Linked DNA regions of Mytilus edulis. The protein of the gene in region 1 interacts with the protein of each later gene in a biochemical or structural test. Links are inferred from orthologs where the notes say so. Each region holds a gene or a part of one and is shown in the gene's direction. Other genes may lie near its edges.

Region 1 (7,694 bases):
CTGCCCCACATGTGATCATGCAACCGGTCGAATCCTTCATGTTCTCACTTTAAGATGAACAAAGTTTGAATGTTCGTAATTGAAGGATTAATTGGTAATTTGACATAAATAGTGCTTCTGAAGTTCAGAAAAATCGATCTCAATAGGATATCTGACTTAACTGGTTCTTCTGGGAAATATATAGTTCCGATTAGGAATTCTGACATAAAGCTTCGATGAACTTGAATCGATCTCGACAGGATATCTGACATAACTGGTGCTTTATAGTGAAATCGATCACAATAGGAATATCTGACATAACTAGTGCCTCAGGGAAATATATCTCAATAGGAAATCTGATGTAACAGGTGCTTCAGGGAAATATACTTCAATATGATATCTGACATAACTGATGTTTAAGGGAAATTAATATCGATAGGACATCTGACATAAGTGGTGCTTTAGTGCAATCAATCTTGATCGGATATATGAAATATGTCTGGTGCTTCAGGGAAACGATCTCATTAGGATATCTGACATATTTTTTTCTTTCTTCTCACGAATAGTTCGATATCTGACATAACTGATAACTGACATAATCTATGTTTCAGAGAAATCGAGTTCAATAGGATATCTGACATGATTGGTGCATAAGGGGAATGGATCGCAATACTATATTTGACGTTACTGGTGATTCAGGGAAATATATCTCACTGGGATATCTAACATAAATGGTGCATCAAGGTAATCGATCTCACTTTGATATCTGTCATGATTGGTGCTTCAGTAAAATCAATCTCAAAAGGAAATCTTACATAAATGATGCTTGAAGGAAATGATCTCACAAGGATATCTGATATAATTTGTGTTTCAGAGAAATCGAGCTCAATAGGATATCTGACATGATTGGCAGGTAAATCGATCTCAATACTATATTTGACATAACTGGTGATTCGGGGAAATATATCTCACTAGGATATAAGACATAAATGGTGCATCAAGGTAGTTGCAATTGATCTCACTAGGATATCTGACATGATTGGTGATTCAGGAAAATCGATCTCATTAGGAAATATGACATAAATGATCCCACAAGGATATCTGATATAATCTTTGTTTCAGAGAAGTCGATCTCACTGGGATGTATGGCATAAACGATGCTTTGAAAAGGACACATCTCACAATGACATCTGATATAATTGATATTTTAGAGAAATCGATCTCAAAGGGATATCTGACGTAGATGGTGATTCAGTGAAATCCATATCAATTTTATGTTTGACATAACTGGTGCTTTAGAGAAATCAATCTCCCTGGGATATCTGACATAAATGATGTTTCAGGGCAATCGATCATGATCGAGTATCTGACATAAATGGGTTTTTTTCCCAGGAAAATATATCTCAGTAGGATGTATGGCATAACTGATTCTTCAGGGAAATCGATGCCACAAAGATATCTGATAAAGAATCATTTTGATAACAGCGTAAAATTCATAAGACAATTTCAGTATTTTCTTTGCGCGCTCAGGTTTTAAATTTATTGGGTCAGATTAGGTAGACGTTCGTCTGTAACACCTACTTGTCAGCCATTTAAACTGGGGGGAAGGGGTCGCCAATAATTCTAAACGCCTAAATCAAATCAAACGAAAAACTAGCATAGAACAAGACCTTGTGTGTTGATTTAAATGTTGGGTACTTAAACTTTTTTTTTCTTCTCGTGCACCTGCATGTACCTTACTCTTTTATTCTATTTAAATCGTCATTGGAAGTCCTCTGGCAGTGGTCGTAAAATCACTGTTATCGTTAGCCTATGATAAACAAGTTAAACTGGGTTAATGATTCAGTATAACTACCTACATAGTATTGCGGTTGTCCATGCTGTTATGAAAATGATTCTAAATGGTGCTTCAGAGAAATCGATCTCAATAGGATATCTGACATAACTGGTTCTTCGTGGAAATAGTTATCATTAGGATTCTGACATGCAGTGGCGGATCCAAGGGGGGGGGGGGGGGTTCCGGGGGTGCGCACCCCCCTTTATTTTTGCCGATCAATGCATTTGTATCGGGACATATGTTTTGCACCCCCCTTTGCCCTGGGTTAGCACCCCCCTTTCGAAAATTCCTGCATCCGCCCCTGACATGATTGGTGTTTCAGAGAAATCGATCTCAATAGGATATCTGACATACATGCATGGTGCTTCAGTGAAATCCATATCAATTTTATGTTTGACATAACTGGTGCTTTAGGGAAATAGTCTCACTAGGATATCTGACATAGGTGGTGCATCAGGGAAATCGATCTCAATAGGATATGTGACATAAATAGTGCTTCACGGAAATGTATCTCAATAAAATGTATGACATAGGTGGTGCATCAGGGAAATCGATCTCAGGATATGTGACATAAATAGTGCTTCAGGGAAATGTATCTCAATAAAATGTATGACACAGGTGGTGTATCAGGGAAATCGATCTCAGGATACCTGACGTAAATGGTGCTTCAGTGAAATCGATATCAATTTGACATATCTGGTGCTCTAGGGAAATAGATCTCACTAGGATATAAGACATAGGTGGTGCATCAGGGAAATCGATCTCAATAGGATATGTGACATAAATAGTGCTTCAGGGAAATATATCTCAATGAAATGTATGACATAACTGGTGCTTCAGAGAAATCGATCTTAATAGGATATCTGCCATATAAATGGTTCTGCGGGGAAAAAATAGTTCTCATTGGGAATTCTGACATATTGGGGCTTTGGGGAAATCGATCAAATTTATAGGACATCTGACATAACTGGTCTTTCAGGGGAAATCGATCTCACTAGAACCGATATATAACATAAATGATGCTTCAGGAAAAATCGATCTTACTTGGATATCTGACATAATTGTTTCTTCGTACTTTATTTTGGGCTTTTTAATTTGTTTGATTCGAACGTCACTGAAGAGTCTTTTGTAGACGAAACGTCCGTCTGAGGCAAATACAAAATTTCAATCCTGGTATCTATAATGAGTTTATTTAAAGGGTAATATAATTCATAAACTGTATTTTACCTCGAAGAATTTTCTCAAAATATTCCTCTCCCCCTTTTGAGCTCACCTGGCCATGGCCCAATGGTCCAAGTGAGCTCTTATCATCACTTGGCGTCTGTCGTCCGTCGTCCATAAATTTTTACAAAAATATTCTCCTTTGAAACTACTGGGGCCAAATTTAACCAAACTTGGTCACAATCTGCATTGGAGTATACATGCATGGTATATATGAAGATGGTCGCCGTGGCTAAGAATAGAACGTATGGGTAACGGTAGATTTTGGTCTATATCTCTGAATCCAAAGCATTTAGAGCAAATCTGACATGGTATAAAATTGTGTATCAGGTTAGAACCTATCTGTCGTAAAATTTCAGACGAATCAGACTAGCTGTTGTTGGATTGATACCCTTGGTAATTTTAAGGACTGTGTGAAAAATTGAAGTATCTGGTAATTATCTTGAATATTATTATAGATAGAGATAAGCTGTAAACAGCAATTCATTCAATAATGTTCAGCAAAGTAAGATCTACAAATAAGTCAGCATGACCAAAATGGTCAATTGGTCCCATAAGGAGTTCTGTCCTTTAAGGTCAAATTTAACAATTTTTCTTCTCCTGAAACAACTGAGACAATTTTTTATCCCAAACTTGGCCACAATAAGCATTAGGGTATCTATCTTAAAGAATGTGACCAATAAAACCTGCTTGCCAAACAACATGGTAGACATGGCTAAAAATATAACATAAGGAGAATAAAGTTTTTGACTTCGATATCTCTAAAACTAGTAAAGCAAAAGTATATCGGTTGCATTATTTCATGCATCAATAGTCCATTTGCCAATTACCAATTTGCTTCTGTTATAAAGGTGTTATGGGTGTCTTTCTACATCTTGGTTTTGTGAAAAAAACAGATTCTAAGGTCCAGATTTTCAATCAAAATAGAAAAATTTGATGCAGGAATGCCGATAACTAATGTGAATTTTCATTCAAAAGAACAAATCAATAAGAATATATTTTATGAAAATTAATATTTTTACAAGTGTATGTTATTTTGGTTGATTTTTAATTTATTTTTAAATTAGCATTTAAGGGGATATGTAGCTCTGAAACAATGCATTTTCTGAAGGAATCTATATATACATGGAATTTTCATATGTAGTATTTTAGCCGAAAAAAACGTACGGTGACCCTATACCTTTTCTTTTGATATTCTCAAAGACTTGTATTAAAGTATCTTTTCGAAATTTATATTACAATTCTATCATTTAGTTTAGTTTCAACTTATTTTCCTTTATAATCCATACAAAATATGCCATTTTGTCACAACCTGAAGCTTGAGAAATGCACGGTGGCCTATCTTTTTTTTTTTAAACATATATCAATATATATTACGTTTTGGTAAAAAAAATAAACAAATTCTATCATTTATATTTTAGACTCCCATATGAAAATATCAGGTGAGCGACACAGGATTCTTGGAGCCTCTAGTTTTATATGCATTGATCTGTTGTTACTTCCCTTGAACAATTTCTTGTCTTAGAGGTCGATTTAGTGTGCAAATGGGAAATTTACATACCTTGTCAATCGTTCATTTCGTGACCAATCAGATAGTTTGTTTCATTTATAGACTCCGCCCAAATTGTACTTTTTTCCTTCGAAATTTTCGAAGACACTACGGTTTTACCCTTGTTTTTTTGTTTTATGTTATGTTTAAAGACATATTATCGCAACCATTAGTTAAATAAATTACTTAACTTTCATCGTCAAACAGATTTTCGGATCAAAGAAGAGATAAAGTGGTAGAAAAACGATCGTTTTCTCCCCCCTCTCTCGGTCGGCGCGAAGTTCACATTGTGCTGTTTCACGCTACAATCAAATGACCTCGTTGTCAGACGGAGATCGAAGACCTAGCAGTCTTAAGCATAATAATTAGTTTTCAAAGTTTACATGTGTTAATTTTAGCTGACATTTTATGACACATCGAATGAAGATTCTGTCACAGCATGCAGAAAGCTATTTTGTGTCTTATTTAACAGTTTCAACAAAAATTTCTTTGTGATTCCCTCCAAAAAATTTCAACAGTTCAAGATGCCGCTATTACGAAAACAGCCATTTCACAGACAACCAGTACCAAGTTCCCTTCAGCCTGATGACGATGTATTTCATTGTAAGCTGACAAATGAAATCTTCAAAGATTATGAGTAAGTTTATTTTCTTAGCCCTGATGTTCGGTGAACATTATTAATCTAATGTATGAAAATGTGATTTAGTTTTCTGTCGGCCATTTTGTATCCTTCCTATATATAAATTTACACTAAATAACAGAAATATGTTCCTCAAAAATATTTTGTTTGTTTGTTTGGTAATTTATATCATTATGAAATGTGTTTTCCTCTAGCTTCTACAAGAATGAACTACTGAATGTGTATATGGGTCAATTAATTTGGTTAATCTATTCTGATAAATATGCATATTTGTTATATACAAACCTACATCAACCTGGAATTCTATCTTTTAATATACTTAAGCATGTGTGAAGGATTCTGAGAATACAAAATGTATTCCCATGCAAGTACTCAATCCATGTTGAAGTCGTTTAGTATTACTGCTTTTCAAGGTAGTCAGCTCCGCTGTATCCACAGAAAGATATCATCTATTGGTGGACAAGTGCTGTTTTATATTTAAGAACAGAATCATAAGTTTTTTCTTAGAAATGATACTGTCATTTCGTAATCTTTCTAAGCATATCTGCATACAACAATAGAATACAACTTTTGAAGCCCCCCTCTCTATCACTATCAGGAATAGGGGTTTAGTAATAGCTCTAAGTATGTATTTGCATAGTACTTTGTAAATGGTATTTACATCAAGGCTAAGATGTAAAGGTGCGTTTGATTAATAATTCATCTGGTTGCTTACGGTAAGCCTCTGGATGCTTTAGATAAGCATTTTGAATTTGTTTGGTTGCAAAATTAGCCTGTCTACAAGCTGAGATACAAGATACTTTTTATATAAAATGGATTTTCAAAGAAAAATCTTGTTGGACTCTTTTTTGTCAACAGTTTTATAAGGCCAAATAAAAATATATGTGTGGTTCCAGTAACCCGACCGACCCTAGTTAAAACCCCTCGACACTAGAACTTTTTTTTTTCATTTCTGAAAAATATATTTTCAAATGATCAAATTTTGAGGATTGTGAATTAAAATGATTAAATTCATAGATTTCTGTCACAGTGATCTGGAAGGTTTTTTTCCCTATAGGCCCAAGGCCCCTCAAAAATAAATTCAATGGGCCATTTTTAAAAATAATGGGCCTTGTTGTCAAATGAGTGGGCCATTTAAATTGACTTCTGTAAACAAAAAAAAGTATCAGTATATTTTGGCAAAGAGGTGTACATGTTGGTACATTTACTTACCTTTATGATTTTAAATAAAATCATGGATATTGTTCCTGTGATTTTGTAATTTCAATTTCAATGAATATACAATAACTTCTTCAAACCCGAACAATATTTAAGTTAACCTTTATTTACAATGTTTAAACTGGTACTGTTGCCTTGTTCATGTCCATGGTTGTTTTTTTGTACATTAAATTTGGGTCTTCGTCGATACCATACTTATTTCAGAGGACATTTCAGGCATTTCCTCTGCATTTCTTGTATTATTATAACTTCATCACGGTGACAAGAATAACAGTATAGAGTACCATTAATTTATAGCACAAAACAACAAATCGCTGAAGTCATGATTACAAAATGTCAAAACGTACCAAAGACCATAAAATGACAAGGACAGTTAAACGTCTTTTATGGAGACAAACACTATATTCCTAAAAAGTCTTTGGGGTTCTTCAATCGAAATAATAGCAAGCTAAACTTAATGAGATTATTTTTAGAGTTAAATCTCGTCTGTACTAGCCAAATTTCACAAATTTAAAGTTGTTTATAAAAAAAATATATCATGAATAATGGTTAATTACGTTTTTTCGGGTTATCAGTTAGATCACATGGTCTTATTTTTACAATAGGAAAATACCCGATACATGAAACTGCCTGGTTTTATTATCATAGGGAAACACCCGAGACGTCCCAAAAATATATAGGTGCTCCTATTATTGGAGGAACATTACACTGTTATGTACACACGCATGGCGGCACGGAACACGATCGGAAATCCAATTGATGATATCGAAGCGTTTCAAAACGTAGTGAAAAATATCGTGCGCCACGTTGGCGCTTACATTTGTCACTGTATGTGCCATTTCTTGTCAATAGGCGCAGGGCGCACGTCCTTCCCGATCACTGCTGTCATCTGAATTTCCATCACAAGTATCTGTTATGGCTAAAATGCAAGAATTCATAACAGAATGCAACAAAATTAACTAAAAACGTATCATGACTGTTTATTTTACAACCAAACATGTAAAAATGGTGGACTTCCGGTTGGGGTGTGTATAATACCAGAAACAATTTCGGTAAACACACAAATTTTCCGGATTTTGACATTCAAAAAAAAAATATTACAAAAAATAAAAAAAATTGCAGACCTACCGAGCCTATTTTTTAACAGTATGTAACTGGAACCACACATATAATTTGATTTGGCCTAAGATCTGATGAAGATTTTTTTTTCGCCAGTACAATTTATGAACTAAGAAACTTTAAAAGTTTGT
Region 2 (7,698 bases), on another chromosome or scaffold:
CCTTTTATAGCTGACTATGCGGTAAGGGCTTTGCTCATTGTTGAATGTCGTAAGGTGACTTATACTAGTAGCTATTAATTCCTGTGTCATTTGCAATCATACCACATCTTCTTATTCATACTGTAGATAGGTTCTTTTATCATACCGGGAATTTAAGATTGGACCTAATTTCTAACGGTTATTCGGGATTAACACGTTGGGATTTTAATCTAAAAATAATTGAGAGTTAGTAAAAACCTAGTTTTTATAAATTCAGTAAGAAACGCGAAGAGAATAGCACATTCTCCCTACACGAGGTGTCTGATTTAATATCTTCACGTATTTATGTTATTGACACGAATGATAATTCCAGTAAAAATAATGGACACATTTTGGGGATTGGACACGTTTGAGTGGGTTTTTTTTTAATGGACACGTTTCTAAAGGCGTTTATACAAATGACACGCTTTGGCGCTGTTACAACTAGACATGTTTTGCAGTTCAGTGACGTCGATGTGGACACGTTTTGGGGAATCGGACACGTTTGGGGGGAAGGACATGTTTCTGAGTGTTACATATATATCGCTGATATAAACTTCAATTTGAAAAAAAATTTCAATTTTCAAAATGCCGACACCTACAAATAGATAGATGGGCGCTTAATGTAGTACAGTGGCAACTATTACATACATATGAATGCTGAAAATAATGTTTAGTGTATAGGTTTATATATGATATGAATGGTTTCAACTTTTACAAAACCAGAGCTATAAGTTTGATATAAACGGTTAATTTGTTTGGCCTTTTTAATTTTATTTGACTTTATTTGCCTTTTTAACTAGATTTGAATCGAGCGTCACTGATAAGTCTTTTGTAGACGAAACGCGCGTCTGGCGCAAAAACCGACAAAATTTATATCCTAGTATCCATCTATGATGAGTTTATGTAGATACCTTGTAACAATATCTTGGCTCCAGTCTACTAATATTTGGTCGTAGTACTCTTAATTTCAGCGTAAATAAGATATATATATATATATTTTATAACAACATTTTCGTTTAATAACACCTTATATCAGTACCGTTGTGCAAATCTTTAGACTGATTTAATTTTTTCCTTATCTGCATAGTATCGCCTATTCTAGACGATCCGGTACATAGTAAATTTGCTGGTTGGTCCTTTTTATAGACTTTTATATATATATATATATATATATATATATATATATATATATATATCAGTCTAAAGATTTGCACAACGGTACTGATATAAGATGTTATAATACGAAAATGTTGTTATTAAATCGTGCTGACAAATATTTCGGCTCAACAAATGGCCTTCTTCAAGTGTCACAAGTTTTAACAATACTGATACATGATGTATAAGGTGTAAAAATAGATCAGTAATAATACAGGTAAGTTTTGGTCGATTGATTTTTAATCCAAAAGCCTGAATATCATAATATAAACAAAACACTATAAATCAATATACGTGACTGTGTATATTAACAATAAAAATGAGTGAAAAAACAAAAACGCTAGTATTTCTTATTGATGCCGTTTGGATGATGTACATAAAGTTCCTTTATCCAAAAGCTTTCCCTAACCTGTCGCTGGGCATCACTCCAGTGAATATTCTGTTCAATCACTAGAATTTTCATGCGGTTAAAGTCATCAGGTTTGTGACCCGACTGTCTGAAGTGCTGAGAAACTGGGAGAAGTGGCTTCTTAGAGATATCACTCCTATGGCCATTGAGGCGTTTGTGGAAAGGCTGCTTTGACTCACCAACATATTGGAGGCCACAAACCGAACATTCTAGTATGTAAACAACATTCATACTTTTGCAGGTAACATTATATATATATAAAAAAAATAATAATAAAAAAGGCACATCAGCGAAGCTTCATATTTCAGAAGTATTGTATTTATATATATATATGTCATATTTCCATTGCCCTTGTCCACATTTTAGTAGTTCCGCGATTTGCTAACAAAAATTGAATAGCTGTAAATTTTATCAATTGAATTTCACACTGTTAATGGTTGTTAACTATGATCAATGTGAACATTTCGAGTTCTAGTCCTTATCAGGGGCGGATCCAGCCATTTTAAAAAGGGGGGTTCCTAACCCAGGACAAAGGGGGGGGGGGTTCCAACCCCCGGAACCCCCCCCTCTGGATCCGCGCCTGCTTATCTCTAATACCATAAGCAATACCGGTCAACTTTATTTGCTCGAATTGCATTTGTGCACATGACTTTTTTTATAACTTTATTTTCTTGGTTAATTGGTGAAGGTTGAGGGTGGTTTTTTTTGTATTAATGATTGAAATGTGTCAAAGTCCGTCAGGCAGATTTCATCTGACCTTAACTTTTATTTATGGTTTATTATTTAACAAAGTTAAGTTTTTATAGCACCGCAGGTAAATTATCACGTTGTGATTTGTTTAACGCCGTAACGTGGTGGCCCCCTATGAGACCGTAAGGGGTTCGTGACGCGTTAATTGTGACGTCATCTATTAATGTTGTTGTGTTTCATAGTTTATTTTTCAACAAAACGCAGCAGTAAAAGTCTAGCGTGCGATAAATTCGTTATACGGTTAACTACTGACCTCCTACGGATCCATAGAGTGTGTATAAAGTCCATGGGGGACTCGGCCTCCTAACCCCCTATGGATTTTAATTTTACTAACCCTCTATGGATCCGTAGGTGGTCAGTAGCGAACCATATTTAACTTATAATGTGACACTTTTGTTTAAGTCAAACTTTTATCTTGAAAATAAAATCAATTACGATCATAAGCAGGCGCGATAATTTACATTTTAGTGCGTGCATTATTGTATGAATAACACGTAGTGTCTATTTATGTTGAAAAACGAAGGGTGACATTTTTTCCGCATGTTTGATTTGTTTCCCGCTCGTTTGTGAAACTTAATTGTGAATTGTTAGACAAAATTATGAAATTTAAGAACAATGAAATTTTGTTTGGAATTCTTTGTTGGTTTTAGCCAACCTAACCCAAAATGAAAGGTGAGCTTTTCTCATTACATCGTTCGTCGTCTTCCATTAATTTTTACAATAATCTTCTCCTCTGAAATTACTTGGCTACATTTAACAAAACTTGTCCACAAACTTTTGTCGGTTTAAAAGGTCGAAAGAGCTTATTCTTTCCTGTTTTGTATGCTTTTTAACGACTTTAAATACATTTCCTTTTATTTGATTTGACAATCATCATTGGGATATAAATCAAGTTTTTAAATCATGTTTCGGTTATCCCGCTTACAAGTATGTTTATTTTGGCCGACATGCAACATCGGGGGATTAGGGAGTTTTGTCTGGTTTTTTTTAAAACCGCAATAGATAAAGAAATCGTTGCTTTTCATAATTCATTTGTGGTTTCCAAAAAAAAAAAACACCGGGTCTTATACAAATACAAAACCGGGTCGTTGTGTAGTAAACAACTCTGATAACTCCGGGTCTTTCTATTTGTCATTTATGTCCATGCACAGAAATACAAGTAGTGAGGTTTTCAAAGTGGCTATAGTCTTGCAATCTCCATGTAAATATCTTCCGTCCCGTACCTTTCTTTACAATGAGTATAAATGAGGGGGGATAGGACCTTTATCGGGACTCCGGGATCGGGTGTTTTTAAGCTCGGGATTTCGGGATTGACCCATTCGGGATCCGGGAATTCTTTTTTTCGGATTTCGGGACGTCGGGATTAACTTTATTTAAATTCGGAATTTTGGGATTTCATGTTTTTAAGCTCGGGATTTCGGGATCAGGACCCCTCCTATCCCCCCTCATAAATTAACAGGAAATTAAAGGCAAGGTTCACTATAAATGTATCATCTTAATTTGCAATTTCTACATTAATCTATAAAGATTACAGAAAATATAGCACCTCAAAATCGAAAATTGTATGTATTTATACTCTTGGATATCATAAACAAATAGTGCACAAATACCTACTTTTTCCGTCTGCCTGTTGATGTTCCATCACAGTTCCGAACATCAGATATCATTGAGTTCACACTTTTTACCGGGATAGTTTAGACACAGTGTACATGTGCTGAGTTTTAACTAACAAAGTCACACAAAATAATTCTCTGAAATTGTAATTTTGGCAAAAAAATATACAAAAAAACGTCAGAAAACTATTCTCGGATATAAAGAAAACAAAACGGAAAAAATAATATTAGATGGCAGTTTTATTATTAAATGGCGAAATAACTTTAAATAGGTGCCTATTTGACAAGGTGCATTAGCAATATAGAATATAGGTACCGAATACACCTTATCGCTAATCCCGGCTGACCCGGCCGATTGAACTTTTGACGCATACAACAATCACTTTTCCATTGTGGCGTCAGGTATTTTGTTTTGTGACGTCAAAAATTTACGGGAACCTGTGTGATATCTAGTTATGGCGGACAAATAGCGATAAGGTGTATTGACCAGGTCACGTATTCCTCGATGGGTACTCCAAATAAAGGAGGGATCTACGTACATACATAAATTAGACTAATGTCTGTCTAAATTGTAAAGTTATTTATCCAACCGAGTCTATTAAAGTTGTGAATAACTAAATTTTAAGGTATGCGAAGCAAAAAATAAACCAAAAAACAAATGTTCAATTCTGGGTCTAATTCTAAGGTCAGAGTAAAGGGATATATTTTAGCATTTTCCATAACAATTGCGCAAGCGTGAATTTAACTTCCGGCAAAGCGCAAATTTTGCCGGTGATTCGAAACGACAAAGAAAACAGCATATATTTTAGCAATTAGTCTGAGTATAGACCAAACAAACCATGTCTGACTCAGAGGCTGAAAGTACCAACGATGAACCAATGGAACTAGCTGTAATTAGCCTTATAGAAATTGTGGAAAACGTTTAACAACAAACTGATATATAAAAATTTGCATTTTTGCGGGAAATTGTCGTAAAACTGTTATTGAAATATTACCAAACAATTAATTTTCTTAAGCCCTAACTGTTTTACTCGTACATCATGACATACTTTGTGGTTTAGGGTTCATGAAAACAAATGTACAAAAAATGGCTGTGTCACTGTCTGTGTTTACAAAACTTTACAAATCTCAAACTACTGAGTGTATAGTACGGTATCAGGTCCGTTCGCGCCCAATATACTTTCGCACCCTACACGTTCGCACCTCGCACGTTCGCACCCAAGGTCCGTTCGCACTCTACACGTTCGCGCCCAATTTTAATTCAAATTCGAGTTGAATAATTGGAAAATCATGATTGTTGTTTTTAATTGCTTTCGTGTAAATACTGAATGTATTTATAGCTTGGTATGAGTAAAAGATTGAAGATTTTAAATGAAAAACACAAAAGATAATTGTTTTTAACAGCTTGGTCCCTTTGATCTGAAATAATGAAACAATACACTATTATATATTACTATACATGATAAAATTTAATCAACACACAAAAAAAAAAGGAAACGTAGTCAGAATCTCACTTCATTTTGAAACAAGTCAATGAAACAAAAGTTATAGCAATACACTAACCAAAACATGATAAACAGTTATTCAACACAAAATAAAACGTTGACAGAATCCCACTTTATTTAGAAAGGAATATATTTTTTTTTAACAATACACTATCCAAAACATGATTAAGATTTATTCAACACAAAAAAAAATGCTGTCTCACTTTATTTTGAGACCATGAAAACAATTATACTTATAAGAATACTACTTGCCAAAACTTGATTACAAAGTTATTAAACACAAAACCAATTAAAACTGGGCGCGAACATGTAGGGTGCGAAAATGAAAGGGGGCGAACATGAGTGGGTGCGAACGTGAATGGGCGCGAACGGACCCGGATTCGTATAGTACCAGGATTTATCACAAACTGATGTGTATAACCTTGTTCTCAGTACCATATTGCATTTCTGAGAACTCAGAAAAGCATTGTACCCCTGTGATGCCAAAAAAAATATATCTGTTTAAGGTTACATCATCAAAATAAATAGGGTAGGTAGGTCGGTATGTCCATTTTATTTTTTTTCCTGCAGTCTGCCTTGCCATGGGCCGAAGTTACCCGTATTTTTAATGATTGGATTATTTCCCTTTGTTATTGATTGGGAAAAAATGACGGCAAAATGTTTATTAATCACACGAGTCGCAAATTTCCTTAAAACAGCTATCATATTCATGATTATGAACATTGGGATGCATCAGGCAACACTATCTTCACTTTTAACACGAGTTCAGTTTATTTTTCACTTCACAACTGAAATAAAATGGCTTAGGGTGGGCGCTCAAAATAGGGTCGGTCTGGTAACCATAAACAAGAAACATATAATAATTTATTTTTTTTGGCCTGAGTAAATTTAAATATAGAATGCAGGACGCAACTTCCATGGGATGAAACGTGTACCTTGAAAAGATGTAATGGCATACTTGTGAAAATGCATCGTCCATGTACTTTTTTTTTTAAATACATTTTATTAAATCAATTACATAATATATATATGTACATCAAATGGATGTTTAATATCTTGTATAAACAAACTGAACAAATAAAACAAATAAGAACATTGAAGAATCAATATTCAAATGGATGATTAATTTCTATCATCTTCAAAACAATAAGTTAAGTTTGAAATATAAAACAAAGTAATTAAATACATGTAATGATTAAAAAAAAAGTGTTACATCTTGCAAATGAAAATAGATATGTATTTTTACAATTCTTACTTGCAGGCAAAGGAATATGACTCGAATATTACAAGTTTAAATTATGCATGGTTGCAATGCCTAATAATCACAAGAGACAATGATTAATCAAATTTTGATTGGCTAATAAACATGATTAAATCCCATACTTTCTACATAAAAGCTTGGCTATAACATGTCATATGTTGATTGTTGACAGTCATGTGCTTTTTTGACTGGAAAATAGGGGATTCTGACAAACACCTGCAATAGGAGTTTTATTAAAATCTATATGATCAACATGATGAATAATAACTTTTTGGGATAAAAATGATAAAAGTGAAGCAAGTATCAATAAGAATTAATGACTAAGATAATAACGTACAATGTATACCTTGCTAATAAGAATAGAAATCCTTACCTACTGACCCTACTTTTAAAATTACATATGCCTTTACTATCAATATCATAAAAAGTGATTGATTGGTGTTTAATTCCACTCTCAGTACAATTGTGTTTCTGTATTTTGTGTGGTCAGATGTTTTGAAGCCTGTACAATTAAACACAATCTATTTAATTTTCTATTTCAGCCAACCATTGAACCAACAGTTCTACTTAAGTCTCCACCTAAAGTGAGGAATCCTCAGGAAAATGCACAATTTGAAGCTAAAATTGTAAGTATTGCCTAAAATGTTATGCTCCTGATGCAGATCTAGAGGAGCAAACATTATTATATAAAAAAGAAGATGTGGTATGATTGCCAATGACACAACTGTCCATAAGAGACCAAAATCACACAGAAATTAACAACTAAAGGCATACCTGTCAACCTGTGACGATGAAAATGCAGGTCATGACCTGCTTTGAAGAATCAAATCTCAGGTCATAACGCGTACAAACTTTTTCTAGCTGAATTTCAGTATTTATGGTACATTTTCTTATAATGTATATCAAAGATACCAAAACATCAATGCATGTTCACTTGGTTAAGTCATTTTAAATCTTATTTATTATTATTTCATTACACTTTTA

The links.
Region 2: the proteins of bromodomain adjacent to zinc finger domain protein 1A-like (region 1) and SWI/SNF-related matrix-associated actin-dependent regulator of chromatin subfamily A member 5-like form a complex in vitro, tested with the Drosophila melanogaster proteins (3 studies listed by BioGRID). The link is inferred for Mytilus edulis from reciprocal best matches to the Drosophila melanogaster genes Acf and Iswi.

The regions. Positions count from the first base shown.
Region 1 is NC_092346.1:30,366,815-30,374,508, forward strand, and holds the start of bromodomain adjacent to zinc finger domain protein 1A-like, read left to right. Parts: upstream 1-4,627; 5' UTR 4,628-5,110; coding exon 5,111-5,223; intron 5,224-7,694.
Region 2 is NC_092351.1:84,269,749-84,277,446, forward strand, and holds the start of SWI/SNF-related matrix-associated actin-dependent regulator of chromatin subfamily A member 5-like, read left to right. Parts: upstream 1-4,666; 5' UTR 4,667-4,787; coding exon 4,788-4,838; intron 4,839-7,256; coding exon 7,257-7,340; intron 7,341-7,698.